Caenorhabditis elegans: one gene and its partners. The protein of the gene in region 2 interacts with the protein of the main gene of each other region in a pairwise test. Each region holds a gene or a part of one and is shown on either strand. Other genes may lie near its edges.

Region 1 (4,277 bases), 1.2 Mb from region 2:
AAACTAGGCCACTCATTAAAAATAAGAATTTTAAGATTTACTGTAACTTAATTTAGTTTTTCTCGCAAAAATATGATAGCCACATTTTTGAGTTCATCGAAAGTTTCAGAGTATCATCTAAATTCCAAGAAAAAACCACTTCGGCACAGTAATACCTGCCTGCATCTAAGACAACCTTCGCCTGCCTTGTGCCTGAATACGTGCCTATTGCCTACCTTGCCTGCTCAGATACATAATGCCAAAGTTCATTCCAACAAGAAGAAGGCGCTAGGCGGCGGCTTGTAGGCATGTAGGCATGTAGACAGGAAAACGCGCCTTTGGAACTTGTTTTCTTTTTTTTTCAGTTTTTTTTTTTGAAAGTTCGTTCTCAAAAAAAAAGCAGAAAAAGAAGAAAACTTCGAAACCCCTTCCCTGAACGATTACGCAATAATCCCCCTCTCTTCCTTTTTCAAAACGGTCTTCATGTCTGCCTACCGTAATCCTCTTGTAGTCACGGCCAACCTGCCTTCTAATCGCCACAAGCTCATCCGTTGCTAAACGTTCCCCCATCTTGGCATTGGGCAACTGTTTCTTCTTCTGGTGCCATACACAATTGTTTTGTTGTTCCTCTCTTTCCAATTGATGCTTCTTCTTCTTCTCTCTAGAAACCGCTTCTCAAGTGCGCCAAGTGCTCATCCGTTTCACCAACACACAAAAGGGAAGAAGGGGGAACTGTAACCGTCTACTAGTTGCCTAATATACTTGTGTCATATATCCTTACAATTATATTAATATATCTACATGTAAGAAGAAGTTTCATGTCCCTTCTTGCATCATTTTTATATTTTCTGGCAATTTGCAGAAATTATTTTGGGGGATTTTTAAAAATTTTCAACAAAAATAAAAATAGTTTTTCAAGTGAACCAAATATTTATCTATGTTTCTAGCTCAAATTTTGAAACAATTCGATTAGGTAATTTTTCTCTCAGATATTTCAGTTTTCCAGCCAAAAACTGAAGATTTTTCTGTCTTACTGAAATTTCCTGTTATAAATGCAACTTTTTCAAAACTATATGCACAAAAAACACAAAAAAATATTTAAAAAAATACAAAATATTTTTTTCGGATTTTTTTTATTGTTGAACTAAAAATGGTTTTGGGAGAGTTTCGTGAAAATTACCCAACTTTTTTTTGTGGTTTAGGTCTAGGCTTAGACTTAAGCTTAGGCTTAAGATTAGGCTCAAGCTAGGGCTTAGGCTCAGGCTTTGCTTTAGGCTCAGTCTTCCAGCGTAGGCTTCAGCTTAGGCATAAGCTTTGGCTTAAGCCTAGGCTTCGGCTTGTGGGAACGCTCAATAGTTTTGTGTACCTCTCCCCTAAACCATCCCAGAAAAATCCTAAATTTCACTTTCGGTTTCATGATTATCCTCTCCCTACCGTGATTTTGTGCTCTCGGAGCCAACACCTCCATATTCCAATTATTCCCGACATCCGAGACATTGTACCTATTATTATCTGGCGCCGAGTATTTGAAATAATTGCCGGATTGGATTTCTTCGGTGATAACACACCCCGCCCCGACTCGGACGCTTCCGCTTGTTGTTCCTTGTTTGGAAAAAATTCCACAAAATCATCACAAAAATTTTCAGCTCTGCTCAATTTCAGATGGATTCACGGGTATGGCTGCCGCTGATTGGAGCGCATTTGCTGCCTCGAGACATTAGTGTTATTACTCAGGTATTTGAGTCTTGATTTCAAAAAAAAAACTTGAAAGTGTGAATTCAGATGATTGCAAATAATAATAATACATCAATTTCGAGAAGTAGCACCAATAGCAGCAAACCCGAAGAGAAGAATTCGAAAAAGGTAGGAATGGAAAGTTGGTGGCCTAGAAAATTAGAAATCTCGGCCATCTTGAAATTTTTATCTAATATTTTTTGTTCTGAAACCGCCTGAAATTATCTTTTTCGTTTTGAACCGCGTAGCCTAGATAGACACATTGGCAGGCACAATACTTATCTACGATGAAAGGAACATTTTCAGTTTCTCATTGAACGATTTCTCGATGATGATCCTTCACCACCAGCATCGATTCTTTCGCCATCACCCAAGGCAGCCATACCCAGTGTAAGACGCTAATCAAGGAAAATTCTAAATTTTTTTTTTCTGATTTTCAGCCAATTATAAATCCAGCAGTGGAGTTTGTAAACGGAGGCTACGGAGTCAAAAACCCCCTGGCTCCGTTGATCAGCTCCTTCGAAACCACCTCAATTCCGTGTTCAACAGTATCTCCTTCATCCCTCATCTCCTCCAGCAAAGACGAGTTCCAAGATTCATTAACCTGTCACATTTGCGGCAAAAAGTTCGGTTTACAACGTCTTCTGAACCGTCACATAAAGTGTCATAGTGACCTGAAACGGTATCTATGCACATTTTGTGGAAAGGGTTTCAACGATACATTCGACTTAAAAAGGCATACCAGAACACATACAGGTACCTCTCAACACTTTAAAGTACTCCTCTACCTCTGCCACCAATTCATAACCACTAATTTGTCGTTCTTCTTACCCTCCGTTGACTTACGGTTGGAAGACAATTGTCTGCGTCTGTTTGTCTAGCACACTGCTTTTTTGTGGGGTGTCATTGAATCCATTGTAGCGAAGCGTAATATTCCACACATTTTCACCGCAAATTGTCGACGATTCTAACTTGATTTACGGTGGAAAATCAAGGGGACCACATTAAAATTGAAACCGACAACACGTTCTGCTCATTTTAATGTATTTCTAAAAAGTTATTTGAATAGAAAATTGTTTAATAATAAATTCAAAAATAAGCAGACAAAGGCAGGCGTGCCTATCTACCTATGACCTTCTGTATTCCAGGCGTCCGTCCCTACAAATGTGAGCAATGCGAGAAGTCGTTCACTCAACGATGCTCCTTGGAATCCCATTTACGGAAAGTTCACGGTGTCACTCATCAATATGCCTACAAAGAGCGTCGTAGTAAGGTGAGTTGACAGAAAGGTATGCATGTCTGCCTACGCCTGCGTGCCTACTCTCAAAGTAGACTCAAACAATAGACAAAATAGAAATAGAAAATAGGCATGTAGGCATGTAGACATGTAGGCATGTAGACATGTAGGCATGTAGGCATGAAGGTACGTAGGCATGTAGGCATGTAGGCATGTAGGCATGTAGGCATGTAGGCATGTAGGCATGTAGGCATGTAGGCATGTAGGCATGTAGGCATGTAGGCATGTAGGCATGTAGGCATCTAGGCATCTAGGCATCTAGGCACACACCGACCGACAATAACTTCTACATTTCCAGGTATTCGTCTGTGAAGATTGTGGTTATACGGACGAAAAGTTCGAAGTCTATCTATCTCACATCAAGGTAGTACACCCCTTCTCGGCCGCCTACCTTCGGTTTACACAGCTTCAGAAAAAGAACTCATCGATGAAACCCGAACAACTTTCCAAGATCTCCCTATAATACTCACCTTTTTTCCTATTTAATTTTTAATTTTTTTTAGAAATTAGCTATTTTCCAAAAATCCTCCAAATCATCGTCATTTCCCCATTTGTTGGTGATCCTTTTTGCACCCCCGTGACTGATTTATTAACCCCAATGACACTATTTTCTCTCCGTCCAAGACCCTTTTCACCCATTTCTGTCTTCTAGATGATTCCATGATGTATTTAACTTATACCAATGACAACAAATTTTCCCAAAAAATGACACATTTTATTGAAATAAAAAAGTTTCTCCTTTTTTTATTCTTAAAAAATGTGTTGAAATCAATGACTTCCATTGTGACGTGGAATTTCTACGACGTATTTTGAGAGCCACTCGGCAATAAATCCAATAGGGTCGGCAGGACGGCGAAGTAGAACCTGAAAAAAAATAAATGCTTAAAATTGCAGCGGACATTTAACGGGTTCAGCATAATCTCTGAAGCGTGCGCGCGAAGTGTCGGCCGCTTTACTAAAGCCTTATGATGTCGGCTGCCAAACACGTTTTCTAGTTGGCACTTAAAATTTGTCAGTTTCTCGAGTAGTCGACATCTCATGGTTTTGTTATAACCCTAATCCTTATTTCCCGCTAGTGAGGTGCCGGCAGTTATACTAAGATGTTTTGAAATTTTGCTGTCAATAAAAAAGAAAGCGGCCGACATCTCCCTGCTTCAAATCCTAGCCCTAACCCATGAAGAGTCGGCTGCTGTACATGAGTGCTGACTTAAAATTTACTGGCGGCCATAAAAATAGAAGCGCCCGACGTCGGCCGGTTATGCTGAAC
Region 2 (5,151 bases):
AAAAAACGTTTCAATTTGTTTCCTAGCAACGTTTTTGATGTAATCGTCAATGTAACAGCCACAATTGTATGAGCGTCATGTTCTTTCTACATATTTTTGATAATGTATAATTGGAGTCTAGACCGACCCTTACTACAGGGTGGCCCATAATTATGCGGACCGCCAGTCTGAAAAGTTAACAATTGAACATCCGTGTTCCGAGTTTATCGACAAGCTGTAAGAATAGTTTTCAAAATTAAAAAAACACTAATTTTGTCATATAAAACACAAACACTCACTTTTACTAGAGGAGCAACATCTATTAATTCGGCTCTTGAAGATTCTAACTCGACAAAAATGTCACGAAATTTGATGAGTATTTGTTGGAGCATGTTGGAGCTCTTTTGTGATATTTTTTGATGAATTCGGAACTTGATGACAAAATTGGTTATTTCTCATCTCTTTGCTACGATTAGGTACTCAATTTTTCATGGACTTAGACATACTAATGCTAGAACACAATGGTGACATTATAGCAACATTTTTTACTTATTCATGTTCAATTGTCCACTTTATATATATTTTTATTTCATAGAAACAATTTATTGATGTAAGTGATCAGGGGATAATTGTTAGTTGAACGATATCATTTTATCAAAAGAAAAGGAGCATATAAAGGGGGTTTTTTCCTGAGTTGGAGAGGGTGGTTTCCGTAATTTTATAAGGGGGAAAGAGCACAATAAAAGGGAGACATAGAGATTGGAATTGACAAGGAATATGAAAATTTGCGAACTTTTCTGAAAAGTTCACAATGAGATCCGGAAATGGGGGACCTGACGACGAGCTTTTTTGTTGAGAAACAGACAAGATTATAGAGACAAGATAAGGGAGAGGTATTGAGAGGGGAAAATGGCTGGAATAAATTTAAAAAAAAATTTACAATTTGTAATTATATGATTGCTCCGGGAGCTCGATATTATAGGTTCATGACAACTAATAAAATGTAGCGTGCAGCGAAACGTTGCAGTCGGTCAAGTTATAATTTCATGACTCCAAACTATCGATTAATTGAATAATGATCACTTAGACATGGTTTAAAGGCTCGCCGAAAGCGTCGACGGGCGTTAGACGCCAGAGAGCCGGTGCATCAGTGTTGACGAGAAATAGTTTTCCGTGTGTCCAATTGCTGATTAGCTGAAAGGTTCAGAAATGCTTAGAAAAAAATGACTTGATTTAGATTTTTTGTAGGATAAATTTGACAAACTGCCAAACTTTCGAAAAAATCTTCGAGCTTTCCCACAGGTCTTCGAGCTTCCCCTACAACAAATACAAATAATCAATGCTAAATTTCGAAAAGTGGAAGAGTTTTCTCATATTCACCGCCACGTAGCAAAACTCTACCAGGGCTCATGTCTAGTCTTAGAAAATTGATTCGCTTACCGCTTCATGTACAAGCACATTAACCCTCTGTGAGTAACACAGAGCAAGTTTTCCTTCGCAACGTTTGCCAGTGAATCCTTCTAACGCAGTGATTAGGGATTTCTGAAAATTATAAATTTTTAGGAAATAATTGTTGATTGTTTTCTGCTTTCAGTCTTTCGGGCTTCCAGAAATTATATTACTTACCTCATCACGATTCATGACAACCACCGGAAAGAAGACATTCTCTTCTGCTCCATTATCATGTGATAAGAACAAAAGAATTGACCCTTCATCTCCTTGCCATCGAACTCCAATTTCAGTTTTTGGCTTCATCATTTCCATGAGCTTTTTGGTCAATTCGTAAGTGATACGGAATTCTTCTTGTGACATCAATTGAGATGAATCTTCTTCTTCTTTAGGAGTTGTGCGTTGCTGAAAATATTAAGAAATTCCAAAGTTGTTCGAAATTTTCGAATTTGGCCCTGAATTTTAGAAATTCGTATCATTTTTTTTAGTTCATTTCCGTTTTTCTGGCTCAAACCTATAGTTTTGAAAAGTTCCAACCTTATGATGTTTGAACAAAGCATAATTATTCAAGAAAAACAAACCGATTTCAAAGTGATAGGCATCACAGTCGTTGATACTCTTTTCTGTCCAACAACCGGCGGACTTATTCCAGCAGAAGTTGCAGCTGCAGCCGCAGTTGCTGCTGCATTGATTGAGGCGAGAAGCATTAAATTATTGTTTTGTTGAAAGTTTTGAATTGTTTGATTTGTCGTGTCAACTTCCATTGGTTCAGCTTTAATTTGTTGTGGAGCAATTGGTAGAGCTTGTGATACATGTGAGGCACGGCTCAGTTTTCGTTGCATGTAGGATCGGTTGATCTAAAAGATTTCAATTTAAAAAAGATTGGGAAATTTTGGAATTCTTAAATCAAAAAACATGAAATTAGCAGTTACACATAATCCGAATGTTTTATTAACAATAAGTGTTGTGCCTACCTGCCTGCCTACAGGATCTACCGAAAACTAAAAAAAAACTTTTTTATTTTGGCTGGTTTCCCTGTAACCCCCCGCGATGAAAATCCACGCCCACTGCGTCTTTAAACTCCGCCCACTCCGTCTGATTGGTTGGAAAATGAGCGGAGCGAATCGCTGATTGGTCTAACATTTATCATTTTAGAGGAAGTTCAAGCAGGGCGATTAGTAAAAATCGAAATACATATAACGTTTCGGCGTACATACATTTTCGTTCTTTCTCGACTTTTTATTTCTAACTATTTTGAATATTTCAAGTTTTGAATATTCACCATAAATCTTTTAGCTCAAAAAAACTCACACTTTTCACTGGATGACAATAATTTGGATGGAGAGTAGAGAAATCTTGCTCATAAAATGCAAGTTCTTCGGGCGACGGTTTCTCATGATTATGTGGATGTAACTTTCTCACAATTTCTCGTGTATTGATATCTGAATGCATTCTTGCATTACAATCATTCTTTCGTTCACATCTCCAAAATTCTTTAGTTCCACAACACGATTTCTTATCAAATGACATGATATATCCATCTGCATACACTTTTTCTCGCACATTTCTCGGTTTATATTCGGGTTCTGTGGACGATGATGACGTGGATGTTGCGTTTGATTGTCCACTGTTAGATACTGCAGTTGCAGTTGAAGACGGTGATGAGCTGGCAGATGGACGTGTATCTTCAGATATTAACTGAGATGTTTGGGATTGTGGATCAAGAAGTAGAGAGAATGCTTTTAGATTTGTAGTGCCAAGGGCTTGAAGAGTCTGAAAAATAACAGATAGACTTACTCGAACATGAATATCTAAAAAGTCTTTCAAGAGAATCAATTTCACATCTATAACTCAATATATTAATCAAGGAGTCAAAACCACAAAGAGCCCATCTCTCACCTGAATAACATTCGTATAGTCAATATCTGCCAAATGTTTTTGCGAATTGGTTCCATTCACCGCTGCCTGCACAATCGTTGGTTGTTGTAACAGTAATCCGGCGACTATTTGCTTCTGTGCCAACATCGCCAGTTCATTATTATTATTTCTGTTTGGTGTCGTCGACGGTAGTGGAAAGATCGGAGGAACCGCTGTGACACCATCTGTATTTGTGTTCATCATGGTGTCCACCATACAGGCGGTCTGAAAAGAGGAAAATTAATGGAAAATACGATGAATTCAAAACTATCTACACGGTATGTCTCAATTGTTTTAGAACATTTGAATAACAAATCCAAGAGATGCAAGAAGCGTACTAATAGAGGAATTAAGTGACAATTGCGATTAAGGTGAACAAAAAACAAAAGTAAAGGGAATATTAATATTTAGGTGCAATAGAAGAAAAGGAAGTGGTACCATCGGAGAATTGAAAAAATATGATAGGGTTATTCCAAAATTGTGAGATCATGAGTTTTCTCTGGTTTGGATTGGGATCTACAAAACTATTTTACTAGAACTTGTATTTTTTTTAATCAGAGAGCAAACAAGGACATTCCAATTCACCTCTAATTGTAGTGCTTTCAATCTTTCTAAACCTCCTCAACATATGATAAAAAGTTATTTAGTTGAAAATATTTTGCTAGATTGCTTTTTTTCAAAAAGTTCAAAATTCGTAGACTTCTTAAAAATATTTAGATAATGTTCCGATGTTTTCCAAAATTCCAATGAATAGTTTAAGATTGCCCTCTTCGAGTTGTTGTAAACATAAAAAATGGAAGAGAGTGTGCTCTTTTGACAGAGACTGCACTAGTAGTAAACGATGCAGTGAGGGGGAACAAAATGGTCGCGCCAGGCGCCAGCTGGTCGCAGCAGGGGTCCGTCCGCCGGTTTGGAGCCTCTCCCCTCTCCCGGTTTCCATTGGCTCCACATCAGTAGAATCCACTAAATATATGCGGAATGGCGTCGGGAAGCGGCCGCGGCGGAGGAGAGAGGGAGGAGGACGCGGCGACGGACGATTTATTGGCGCCATGCTGTGTTGGTTTAACTCAGTTATTCATCACTTTTGAAAGATACAAATTTAATGAAAAAGTGACAGAGATAATGAAAGAACCCTAGAATTAGATGGTAGATTGGTCAAAAAAGTAAAAACGCAGTCGGAGGCGGCCTATACCTAGCGGGAATTTCGTCTAATGACGCGAATTTTAAGAAATCAAGACAATCTGAAAAAAAACGAACTAAGCCTAAGCCTAGGCCTCATCATGAGCCTGAGCCTGAGCCTGAGCCTGAGCCTGAGCCTGAGCCTGAGCCTAATCCTAAGAGCAATCATAAGCCCAGGCCGGTCTGCAGACCCTTAAACTTGCGAAAGTATTGTACAAGACTTGCGGTTTTTCTTGTTAATTTCATAAACTTATGATTATCTGTAAAGTTAGCTTAACATGAATAATATGTAAAGTCCTGACCGGAAAAAACAATTAAATATTCAATTATTACAATGTGGTTAGATACTAACGAAAACAATCATTTTTTAAGCTTACAAAAAACTATATGAATAACAATATAATTAAATTTTTAGAAAATATAAATATTAAACCAAAAAATACCAACTTGGAATGCCCTTTTCGTGAGCTCAATGACTCCGTTGAAGCGGAGCCAAAAAGCAGAAGGGACCTGACTCCCAGAGCCCACGAGAAGCGCCAGGAGAAGCGCGCGCCGAAAAAAGATGGATAGAGAGAAAAAGAGAAAAAGAATGAAAAAAAGAGAGAAGCAGTCAGATGACCGACGCGG
Region 3 (4,471 bases), on a different chromosome or scaffold from region 2:
GTAAAAATATCTAACAATATCCAGAACATGCTAGTGAAACTATTTACTCTCAATTAAAAAAACAAAAACTAACCAAACTAGGTGGTTCTTCACAATGTTTATCAGTCCATTTACCATTGACATGCCTTCGAACATTGTGTCGTTTTGCTGTCGTGCCTATCACTACTCCAAGAATTAAAATGAAAGCTGTACGGAAGCAAATCATGTCGCAATCGACAGAAGAATCAAATAAAAGATATAGGCGAGAAATGACTGTGTCTCTCTGTGTGACCCTTTACCCGATGATGACCTAGTGACATCCACATAAAGTGAAAATTTGGGAGGAGTCGAGGATTCATAAAAATTGAAAGTTTTAGGAAAAGTTCATATTCAGAGTACTTTGTATTATTTTGGATTGTTTTATTTTTAATGGAATCGGGTTGATATAGAATGTTTCAAAATCATCCATTCGATTTTAAAATGAAATTTTGAACTTGATCCTTCTATCTATTTAGTTTCCCCTGCCATTAAACAATAAAAAATAGTTTAATAAAAAATAATTTATAAGGAAAAGATATGCTGATATAACTTTTTTATTTGATACTGATGAGATTCTTTGACTGGAGATTTTCAATTGATTTTGCAATGAGAAGCGCGTTGTCCTTCTGATACCCTCCACTGGTTACCATGCAAATTGGAATTCCTTTTGATTTTGCTAGATTGAACACAACTTCGTCTCGAGCAATTATGCACTGAAAATTTGATTTTCAAAAAAATATGCAACATCTTATTTCAAAATAGACTATACACCAAATACCAAACTCGTATAACAATATTCCTTGCTTTCACACACCTGTGGACTCAATTTCATTGCTCCCAGAGGATCACCAAGTAGACAGTCTGTGCCAGCGTTGAACATAATGAAATCGAAACCAGGAGGAGTAGTTTTCTCTCTATCAATTAAACACTGTGCCAGTTGTTTGCGTAATTCGCTAAATAAAGTCGGTCAGTGAAAGCAGAAAGCCGCTATGAATACTTACGAGAGGTAGGAAGTATCAGTCGTATGACCATTTACATGAACCGCTCTGTTAATAAATTGACGAGCTTCACGATCATGTGGATAGACATATGGATTGAAAACATCAAATACAAACACATTCGGATTGTCAGCAAAGTCTCGTGCATGGCCATTTCCCTTAAAGTATGATTCAAGCAAAAAATTGGATTCTTAAATTTTAATAATTTTTTTAAACAATTAATATTGTGATTAATATTTCGAATTAATATCTAATATTTGAGAAATATCTTTACGGGCTAGACATATTTCATTCACGTTCCAAATGGTTTTCCAAAATGATACCGTAGTCTATAGAATTCTTAACGTAACTGTAAGGTAGCTAAAATTTGAGGACAATTCTAACTTTGAAAGCTCAGATATCGGCCATCTATGATTTTAGGCAAAATACTTCCTTCATGTGATGTCAGACTGTCTCATTGCGGTTTGATCTACAAAACATGCGGGACTTTTTCCCAGAAAAATTGTGACGTCAGCACGTTCTTAACCATTCCAAATCAAATGAGATGTCTGCGTCTCAACTCCCGCATTTTTCGAAGATCAAAGCGGAATGGGATTTTCTGACTACACGTGTTCCTTTGAGTTATATGCTGTCAAAGTTGAGCAGTGAAGGTGCCGCACGCATCAATAGAAAATATACGGTATTTTATATTCTTTCAAATGTTTTTTCCAGTACCTGATGAGCATCTAAATCTACAACAATCGCGTTGGCAATTGCCTTTTTGTCAAACAAATCGAAAATTGCCATGGTGATATCAGCGTAAAAACAGAATCCACCTCCGCCCGAATCTGAAATTATAGGCTGCTGTACAATCCCATAGCGTCTATTTTTCTTGCGGAATAACAAAAACATACGAGAAGCATGATGGAAACCACCACCCACGTTGATCGCCCAACCATGTTTTAGAGCCAAATTGGCAGCTAAAACTGTTCCACCGGCTTGTAAACTGGAAAACACAAATAAATGAATACAACAATTACTAGGAATGATACCGTAGTGGATGCAATAACTTGCTTTCAATAATGCACGGTGGAAGGCAACCGACAAATGGAATCTCGACGATTTGTGCTGCTTTAATAGGATTTCGAACACTTTTCAGATATCTAAAATAATATGAATAAATTTTTTTTATTAGTTGAAATTGTTGAACGCCTCATCTAACTTTTTTTTAGAATGTCAACTATAAACGTTATGAGCTTAATTATTTTCTTTCAATTTAAGTATGGGGCCATACAAACATGATTTTTTCATAAACCAATTCCACGATTCAATCACATTCACAACACTTTCATGTGCCTACTTTCTATCATGTACTCTAGTGAGTTCTTCAAATGTCGGTAGATTTGGCTCAACGAGTGTTTCATCAGTGATCAGATTCATTTCTTTCAAATGTGTAATGACTCTTCTCCATTTCGAAGAATCAAATGGATGTAAATGTTCGATTCCAAATGCAGTTACATTATATTCAGAATGATAGACAATTGGACGTTGATAACTTTTTAAACTAAAGATTTCATCTTTATCTCTGAAATTATTGATATTTTTGGCATTTCCAACTGCATGTTGTACTACAGATTAAATTTCAAAACTCACCGCTCTGCCATTCAAAATCTGCGTAGAATGAGTGGTTAGAGCGGATAAATAAAGAAGTAGTCGTAAAGATTCTGTTTTTCTTGTTTTTGTTATCAGAAAACAGATAACGAATTCTGAAAATAGTGGAAACTGCCAAAAGATGCCAATTGTGGCGAGAGAGCCTGTGGGATGTAGAGTAGGATGAGAAAGGATGGCCTAACTTTTTTATCGGCCATCCGCCGTGTACTTCACCAGGACAAGATGTTTCGTCTTTCAGAAACTCAAATCATCACCAAAGTTTGCAGTTTTTCGAAACAATTAACGGTGGGAAGACGCCGAATTAATTTTATCCGTTTTAAACATTCTTTTTGCTTTTCAAAACATTTTTCTCCTCTTTCTCAAGCTATAATTACTTCTGAATTGGATATTTTAGGAGTGAATCGCTGAACAGCGGATTCGAAGTCTTCAAAAATGGATGAATTACCGGTTAGCATTTTCAAAATTCTTAATGTGCATTCTAATCTTATTTTAGGTACTAAACAGTCTATGCAAAGATCTATATGAGAGTGTCGATCCGCAAGCCCGACACCGAGCCGAGAGTAACCTTGCGGAACTGTCAGAGTCACCCGAATGCCTTCAAAGATGCATGCTTCTCTTTGCACGAGGAGATGTAAGTCGAAATAATAAAAGTGTTAAACAATTTACATAATGATTTTCAGTACCCATACGGACCAATGGTAGCAAGCACCACACTAATGAAACTTCTCGGCGGAAAAACTAGCATCACTTCTGTTCAGAAGCTCGAGCTTGCAAAATATTTATTGGAAATGCTAGGTCAAGGTGCACCTCAATTTCCTCCATATCTCGTCACATCACTTTGCCAACTTTTTGCAAGACTCACGAAACAAGAATGGACGTATCAAAATCCCACAGAAAATCAAACAGAAGACACAAAAATTGAATATCCATTTCGTGATCCGGTTGATAGCCTTGTCAAAACAATCAACATGGATAATATCGAGGAAAGTATGCTGGCCGTGCAACTGTTAACCTTACTCGTTGCTGACATGAATTCAGCTTCGGGAATGGATTCAGTTAACAAACATCGCAAGAATCTTTCGCAGTTCAGGGACGATTTTTTATATGAGATTTTCTCGGTATCTCTGAATGTTTTGAACGATAATGTGGACAGAAATCTGAACGATCGCCAATTGGGTCTTCTTCACGCGGTTCTCAACTTGAATCTCCAATGTCTACTTTTTGATTATATAGGAAGTTTGACAGACGAAACAAGTGAAGACAACTGTAATGTGCAAATCCCAACAGCATGGAGAGCAAGTTTTACTGATGGAAAAATTGTACAGCTTATGTTCAAACTTTTAAATGTGCTTCCACAAGAATCAAGTGAAAAAGTGATGACAATAATAGCTCAATTGGCAAGTATTCGAAGAACGCTTTTCAATGGAACAGAGCGACAGGCTTACGTTCAAAAACTTGTTGAAGGAGTTGTCAGTGTAATTATGAACCCTGGGAAGCTTAGTGACCAGGTAAGAATAATGAAAAATTAAAGGCAAACATATTTATATACCTGATTTAGGCCGCATTCCACGAGTTTTGCCGTTTGATTGCTCGTCTGAAAACAAATTATCAGCTGTGCGAGCTCATCGCTGTTCCCTGCTACAGTCACATGCTAAGGTTACTCGCGGAATTCACTGTACAAAGCCTACGAATGATGGAGTTCTCAGCCAACAGTACATATTTTCTTATGACATTCTGGCAGAGAATGGTGACGTCTGTTCCATATGTTCGAAATAATGATGAGCATCTTCTCAACGTTTATTGTC

What was found. Proteins that work in one complex are often made in the same cells at the same time.
Region 1: the proteins of flh-2 (region 2) and lin-48 interact in a two-hybrid assay, tested with the Caenorhabditis elegans proteins (one large-scale study listed by BioGRID).
Region 3: the proteins of flh-2 (region 2) and hda-11 interact in a two-hybrid assay, tested with the Caenorhabditis elegans proteins (one large-scale study listed by BioGRID).

Annotation. Positions count from the first base shown.
Region 1 is NC_003281.10:3,743,820-3,748,096, forward strand, and holds lin-48 (Transcription factor ovo-like homolog lin-48), read left to right. Parts: upstream 1-1,618; 5' UTR 1,619-1,641; coding exon 1,642-1,713; intron 1,714-1,761; coding exon 1,762-1,842; intron 1,843-2,019; coding exon 2,020-2,103; intron 2,104-2,153; coding exon 2,154-2,469; intron 2,470-2,861; coding exon 2,862-2,986; intron 2,987-3,308; coding exon 3,309-3,473; 3' UTR 3,474-3,753; downstream 3,754-4,277. Other genes in the region: arcp-1 (ANK_REP_REGION domain-containing protein), read right to left, coding at 3,779-3,874. UniProt on the Caenorhabditis elegans protein: Transcription factor. Involved in development of the hindgut, the male tail, and the excretory duct cell. Involved in modulating function of excretory duct cells. Plays a role in left/right patterning of cell fates in the hindgut.
Region 2 is NC_003281.10:4,950,543-4,955,693, reverse strand, and holds flh-2 (FLYWCH transcription factor 2), read right to left. Parts: upstream 3,571-5,151; 5' UTR 3,562-3,570; coding exon 3,328-3,561; intron 3,202-3,327; coding exon 2,740-3,201; intron 2,286-2,739; coding exon 2,010-2,285; intron 1,834-2,009; coding exon 1,606-1,833; intron 1,522-1,605; coding exon 1,420-1,521; intron 1,174-1,419; coding exon 1,063-1,173; 3' UTR 523-1,062; downstream 1-522. UniProt on the Caenorhabditis elegans protein: Probable transcription factor. May bind to the promoters of target genes, including micro-RNA genes, in order to repress expression, and acting redundantly with flh-1 and flh-3.
Region 3 is NC_003283.11:10,524,498-10,528,968, reverse strand, and holds hda-11 (Histone deacetylase 11), read right to left. Parts: upstream 2,786-4,471; 5' UTR 2,660-2,785; coding exon 2,649-2,659; intron 2,581-2,648; coding exon 2,356-2,580; intron 2,159-2,355; coding exon 2,048-2,158; intron 2,002-2,047; coding exon 1,910-2,001; intron 1,844-1,909; coding exon 1,731-1,843; intron 1,175-1,730; coding exon 1,020-1,174; intron 972-1,019; coding exon 833-971; intron 732-832; coding exon 573-731; 3' UTR 525-572; downstream 1-524. Other genes in the region: F25D1.3 (Interleukin-17), read right to left, coding at 74-205; xpo-7 (Exportin-7), read left to right, coding at 3,099-3,113, 3,160-3,297, 3,347-4,174, 4,225-4,471.